Cricetulus griseus: one gene and its partner. The protein of the gene in region 2 binds, or shares a complex with, the protein of the main gene of each other region. Links are inferred from orthologs where the notes say so. Each region holds a gene or a part of one and is shown on either strand. Other genes may lie near its edges.

The links. Proteins that work in one complex are often made in the same cells at the same time.
Region 1: the proteins of Xirp2 (region 2) and Nebulette are in contact, whole or in part, in a crystal structure (PDB 4F14), measured with the Homo sapiens proteins. The link is inferred for Cricetulus griseus from reciprocal best matches to the Homo sapiens genes XIRP2 and NEBL. Residues at the interface, in NP_689594.4 of Homo sapiens: Pro2420, Pro2421, Pro2422, Thr2423, Leu2424, Pro2425, Lys2426, Pro2427; in NP_006384.1 of Homo sapiens: Tyr963, Asp964, Tyr965, Asp969, Asp971, Glu972, Ile987, Asp988, Asp989, Gly990, Trp991, Met1004, Pro1006, Asn1008, Tyr1009.

The regions. Positions count from the first base shown.
Region 1 is NC_048596.1:215,822,678-215,826,771, reverse strand, and holds the start of Nebulette (nebulette), read right to left. Parts: upstream 2,812-4,094; coding exon 2,731-2,811; intron 2,638-2,730; coding exon 2,566-2,637; intron 1-2,565. UniProt on the Homo sapiens protein: Binds to actin and plays an important role in the assembly of the Z-disk. May functionally link sarcomeric actin to the desmin intermediate filaments in the heart muscle sarcomeres.
Region 2 is NC_048599.1:107,671,081-107,674,359, forward strand, and holds the end of Xirp2 (xin actin-binding repeat-containing protein 2), read right to left. Parts: coding exon 2,628-3,279; intron 598-2,627; coding exon 503-597; downstream 1-502.

The DNA of each region.
Region 1 (4,094 bases), on a different chromosome or scaffold from region 2:
AATCCCAGGGAACTTGCCACAAAATTGCCCTCAAAAAACAGAAAACACAGATGCATCTCCAGGACAGGATGGAGTGTAAAATGCCACCAAATCTTTTGAAGGTTCCTATTTTAATTTAGCATGATGGCTGGAGAGTAGTGACCTAGGTTAAATGTGGGGCACCAATCTAGTCCTGCATAATTAGAAACACCATACAGTACACGCTCAAGCCTAATTCAGTGTGATAAAACATATACCTATATATATGTAATTTTAACTCCATGGCTGATACATTTTAGACAACCAGCTGGCTATGCAACTATATAGAGAAGATGAAAATTTCAAATTTAGAAATTGTATTGATATGAAGAAAAAGGAATTCAAAATATAAGGTCATTTCCTCCCCACAAAAATACTGATGTCCCTGGATAAGATCAATTAACTTTCATTTAGTGATATTTGACTGGAACATCTAGGAACATAAACATGTAATTTATCTCAGTATCTGTTTGTTTGCTTGTTTATTTACTATTTATTTTGCAGTTGAAAACCTTTAAGGTACAGAGAGACACACTGGTGCTCGACCGTATCCTCAGCCCGACCATTTGGTTTTAAAATGATTGGGTAAACCCTTCCTTTAATTATTATTTTAGAAATTAGTGTAATTTTTCAGAATCTTTATTAACCCATGTAAAAATTCTTGAAACTAAATGTCTTAGGAAATACAGAATTCTGTGACAAAATAAAATGTAAGCACATATCCAGGCATAAATCAAGGGCCAATAATCATGTTCTAAATATTTAAGTAGTATAGACATTTTGCCATGAAACATAACTCTGTAATAAACATAAATTTCTTCTGTGTGTTTGATTTCATGGCATGGAGTTTGCATTCACAACGTGGTAAGAAGGCAGTGTGCCTCCCTACAGGAAGGGTCTTATGCCACCAATAAGCAATCCTGCCCAAAACACTCCAATAAATCATCTACCTAATTAAAGCCACAGCCCAGCAATAATTACACTCCAATAAAGACATATAAAAGGCTGAAGAGGCAATGCCTTCAGAGTTGGATTTTAAGTGATGACATTGCTGCTACTACTGTTAGTCTGAGAGATAGTAGTAAGTTTTACATGGATATCAACTATGAGAAGTAACAACGGAGCAAAGAGAAAGGGCTTTGTGTTCACCTCCCTGTTTTAACCTCTGTGTGCTTCCATCTTCTTGCTTCTAAAGTGGAGGGGAAATAGGAGATCCAACATCACAAGCTACAGCCCCTGGCACATAGTGCTCAATAAGTTTTAACTGCCACTGGTGTCAAGGTCACTACTGTCATTGTCACTTTCTTACTATTGCAGCTTACAAAGAATTTTCACATGTTAAGTAAATTATGGTTTTTACTAAGCAGCAACACAAATAAAAGTTAGTTTAAAATTTAACTAGATCACATCATGTCTGGAATATGGGAAGAAGTGTGCACATTTCCATTGACTACCACCTTTTTATCAAGCATGGACAAATAGATATAAAAGTTACAGATGGAGTGGCTCAGAGTAGCTAGCATTTATGTAGTCATCACAGTGTTGTAAAGGATAGATGCAGCATTTTCCATGTATATTTCATCTTAGAATTATAAACATTACACTTGAAGACCTAAACCCACCAACATCAATAACATTTCCAAGGTTATTGTTGAGTTGACTCAGGGAAGTTGGCCTTGGAGAACTGGTCAATAAACTACCCTACTGCCCAGGAATCAAACTTTGCATATTAAAAACAACAGACGCAGACAGTTTTGCACTTGCTCCAGAGTGCAGGCACAACTGTACTTCATTTCATAGAACTCCATGGTTTTTTTTTTTATGCCAGCAATTCTCTTATATTGTTTTTTGAGGATGTGGTGGGCTCTCATCCCTAGTGAGAAATACTCTTCTTTATGCCATCTAGAATTCTATTTATATATTTATCATGTATGTGTACAGGTTTACATTAAATAACTCTGGATATCCTTGGAATACAATATAAACTAGCTTCAGTTTCTTAAAAAAATGTTCCTTTTCAATGATATTATCATGTAAACCAGAGTTTTTAATGTACAGTTTCCTTAATACACACACACACACACACACACACACACACACACCCTATATTGCAAAGAAATGTTAGGTGCAAGTAAAGGTACATGCATTTTCATGATTTGGAAAAATAATTGCATTTGACAGAAACTTCATAAGCACCATTCATTTAGCAGAAGGTCTACCATACTGAAAATCATTTTCTCAGACAGAAGCCCTTCCAAGATGAATTCTGCTACTGGGGAGTTCTCAAACACCATGCAATTCAGGGTGATTGCACAACTTAGATGAGACAGGACCTGGATTAGGAATGAGGACAATTGCTCCAGCAGAATTTTTCTGCTGATCGACCTTAGGGAAATCACCTAATATGTTTGTGTTTAGTTCTATGATCTAAAAATGACTATGCTCTAAGAGGTGACCTCAGGGTTTTCTCTCCAGCCCCATGATTCTGCACCGAAGCCATTCCATGTGAACAAAGCAAGTAAAACAAAACTCTTTAGAGCCACTCACATCACTAATGAGATCAGTGCACTTTCGGGCCAGTTCCATGCTTAGGTCTTCAATAACAGGTTTAAGAAATGCCTGTGGAAAATAAAAAGAGAAAGAAAAGGGCCATTTTCTCCTTGTCTGTTAAAGGACTAAAACCTGTTTTTAAGCAAGTTTTTTCTCACTCACCTTGTCCTCCTGATTTTCTTCCTCCTCCACCTTTTCCTCTTCAGTGTCATCTTTTACATCCTCAAATACAGGCACCTTCATTCTTACCCTATCAAAATATTAATGCTTTAAAACTTGTTGTGTCTTTTCATGGACCACCACACCCTTGTGTTCCGAAGTCACTTGGGCACTGGACGAAACACACTTGCAGGACTTTATCCCTGGCTCATGTCACTCTCCTTATCTCAATGATGTGTCAGTGAACACCGAGGATATTCAGGGTTGGCCAGGTCCAGCCTCACCAGTGAAGACTCGCATCTTCTGAGGCAAAGCTCAGCTTCACAAACTTAAAATCAACATTCTTTAGATGGCTCAAGACAAAAAATATTTTTATAGTTCACTAACTCAATTCATCAAAAAAAAAAATTGGCTTAAGAGGCCTGGAAGATTCTAGAAATCTACTTAGCTATAACACCCAAGATAGCATGGCCTGAAGCCTGTTATCTCAAAAATTTCTCAACTTGATCTAAATAAAGCTTTCTCTGGAATGTCAGACATGGCTCTGTTTCCACCGAGTGAATCTGCACCATACAAAGTCATTTCATTAACTTAAATTAAATGTTTTATGAGATTTTAACATACTTCTCACATCCCCCAAAACTACTCACTTCGTATTAGCTGATTAGAGGCTAATAATTTATTGCAAAAAGCCCTTTGAACCACTTCAAAGAATCTATTCTGAGTTAATTATGACTGTTAATCTCAAATTAGGGAATAGTGTATCACATTAATTGTAAACATCATTAAACATGAGAAGTTGAAGTTAATATATGTTGATATTTTATTTAAGACTTCTAGAAACATCACTGCTTCAAAAATAACCATCCTCTTTGCATTTTGCTTGTCTCTGAGTGAATTTTCACATATTCACTAGTCATGTTTTTGTAATCTCACTGTATTCCACAATTGGAAAATTAAGAAATAAAGTGATCATATTTGTCATGTGACGTATCTCACTAGTTCTTTTCTTTGAGACAGGGTTTCTCTGTGTAGCTTTGGAGCCTATCTTGGTACTCGCTCTGGAGACCAGGCTGGCCTCGAACTCACAGAGATCCGCCTGTCTCTGCCTCCCGAGTGCTGGGATTAAAGGTGTTCGACACCAATACCCGGGGTCACTAGTTCTTAAATTAAGAAACTAGTTTTCACAGAAAATTCTTTGTTGTCAGGTTAAGCAACTCTAAGAATCTATCACTCCTGATGTGTTAACTCAGCTGTTTAAATTTTAGGATAAATTTCCTTTTCACAAAATTATAGCATGTCAGTAATCAGTAAAAAACACCATATGGTGACTTATTAAATTAATTATATAAAATGCATCTTTATCC
Region 2 (3,279 bases):
AAGGTTTCCCTGGAACATATCCAAGCCTATTCATTTACAGCCACACCCGCCTGTCTTCTCCAACCAGCCATTCTTGGATTCCAGTGAAACACAAGTCCTGATGGGAGCAGAATAGCCTGCCAAATAACAACATTCACTATCTGACCTTTACAGAAAGAGCTTACCAGCTTCTAATCTAGAGCTAATACTTTTAGACACCAGACTCACTTAAAAAAAAACCTGACTTGCACAGTAGCTGGGGATGCTTTCTTACTTGCAGAATTCCCCCAACTCAAAAGGGAAGTGTTGAGAGTGAACCTCAGCAATGCCATACTCCCCCCTCCCCATCCCCCCGTGTGACTGTAGCAACTGAGGGCAGCTGTGGTAGCTGGAAAATTCTACTTCTCTCCAGAGACTAGATAGTATACATATGCTCCAAGGTTCTTCAATCTATGTGCTACACACACTCAACATGGCATTTTACCTCAGTTTACCGCTGCAATGATGGCATCTAAAACATGATTTATGAAAGCTCTGCTTGTCTGCTATGAGGCACTCCATTGGGTAAACTGTCTTTTGACAAATTATGCAGATTTCCTTGTCTTGTACCAGCAGTTTCTGAAAATAAAAATTTATAAAGGCTTATAAGTTTCTACTTTCCATCACAATTGCAATAGCATAAAAAACAAATAATGTATTAATTTGACATGCAGATAAAGTGAAAAATCCCCAGTAATTGACTTTATATGTATCTTTCGCTGGAAAGTGTACAGTAACATGAATTTGAGGATCTAGTACAAACATTTAATGCCTCTAATATTATACTGTATAGAAACTGGATTATTATATAATAAACACATAAATGTGTATTATGCTCACTTACATTAATATATTGAATATATATAGTAACCTCAGTCATGGAGAACTTTAAGAAAATGTATCATTTAAAGCAACTACCTTTTCCATACATATAAAGTTTTCTACAAAATTTTCCTTTCTAGAAGTATGCACATAAATCATTATAAAGTTCATACAAATTTTTATGAGCCAAGACATTGTATAGTGTTTGATTAAGTATTATCTCAATAATATCAGGGTTTCTTCATGACACCAGCTGTTAGCTTCCTTGTAATAATACTCTACCATACATGAAACGATCAGGGACCTCTCTCTTTTCCTAACCGACTTGAACTTCACAGCCTTTTGAACCCTTACATCTATTTTTCCCATTTTGTGCTGCTTCTTTTACTCAGTACCTAAGTCACTTCCCATTGCTCTCACGTGAATGGTGGACTTTAGGAAATAACAGTAGTTACATTACTAACCAGGGCACTCTAGTGTCTTGCAATGGACATAGAAACATCAATTAAATACTGGTTTTGATTTTCACTATACTCTTCCTAGAATAAATAAGCTTTTGTATTTGTCACCTATGAAAGCAGGTATGTCAAGGTTCTTCATATAAAAAGTACTTTCTTTGTTAAGCTCTGCCTCTCCATGATTGAGGGGACTCCTTTGCAATTGTGATTCCAGTAGGGACACATTTCTATATTCAACACCAGCTTCTTTGTGTTTTCTATGGTTTTGATCTGCCTTAACAAAAACTGAGCATTTGAAATTAATTAGACATCTTTGCTTAATTATGCCAGAAGCAAGCACATTAAGAAACCATATTAACTTGATAAACTAGACACATATGTTGTAAATATGAGAGGCATAATTATTAATTTCAGTGGTTTTTATTTTTAAGTTTGCTATTTCTTTCAATCTGTCTAAAAGAATGGACTGAGTATACTAATGATGCCTATTAACTATGTCTGATCCTTTTATCATGAAACCTCATTAATTGTAACACGTGTAGGAAATAAGACGGAGTAAGTTATCTTCTGATGTTAAAAATATCATGTATTATGTTCTTATGATTTAAACCTCTCATCTTACAAACATAATCAAGTTTTAATATGTATTGTTTATCCTCATCTATGAATGAGGTAAATTGAACCGTCATAAAGATGAAAACATACGTTACAGAAAACATTGGTATCAGGGGATATTACCACCTCAATTCAACTGCAATAGCTAAATATATTAGATGTTTAATGTTACATCTGCACTTTTAACATATTGATGAAAATACTAACAGCATATTATATACTGTAAGTCCTGTCTGAGGCTATTACTAATGTGTATTTTATCCACTGCAGAGACTTATTTAAGTATTCAGTTAAAATATGTCAATACCAGGCCAAAAGTTTTAATCTGATACCACCATAAACTATTGAATGAAGTAAATTGTATTTGAAATTTTAATAATGAGTTTGTTCTGTAGCAAACAAATAGTTCCACTCTTTTGAAAACCACCACAATAGTTGTTATGTCTGTTGACTTCTTCAAACTCCTGTTTAACTTGAGTTTGAAGAACAGGTTTCAGTAATACATACTGCTGATCAATCCTATTAAATGTTGTTGTTAAAAAAGAAAGTAACGAAAGCAAGGGCAGTAAAGAATCACAAGCCTACAGGGTAGCTGTTAGTCCTGGTTTGTTACTGGGTTATTTCCACACACTGTTTTAATTGCAAATCATTTGGCTTTGGCACACATGCTTTCAAATGGGTTAATCTCCTTTCACACTCTTCAATCTCATTTACCACTTATAAAGGCAGATTCCTCCTGGAAGGCCCTGCTCATTTCAGTGGCTTGTGCATCTGAGGTTTCATAGCCCATGCGCCTAAAAACTCTTTCACTCTCCTGCCATGTCTTCTGAAAATCTCTTCTGAGATTTGTAGGCGAATCTGAAAGATCTAGGATATGGCCAGCAATCACATCTTCATAGGTTGGTGGGGCATGCTTAAAGTCAAAGCCAGATCTGCCAGCTTCTGAGCTATGTGATGCTGAGGTTGCTAACTTTGACCCAACAATCTGACTGTCAAATGCATCAATGCCTAAGAAATGCTCACTCATAGACCTTGCTTCAGAATGAACCCTGGACTGCATTGCAGGAACATTTTCTTGGTGCTCTCTAGGATGTCTGTACGAAAAGCCTGTAAAATTAGCATTTCCAGAAGATGCTAGTCCAAATCCCTCCTTACAAAAAGTGTGAGTCTCTTGTTTCATGTTGTGGTTTATTTCACCATTTGCATAAACCCTTTTATCTGTCTTTGCTCCAAAAACTGGGCCATTCTCAAATTCCCTAAACCATCTGTTTATTTCATTTTCATGGCCATTCAAAAAACGTTCAGCCATTTGAACTGTTTGATTGCTGGCTTCAAATCTCTCTGTGCGTTCTGATAGGCGAGGCCC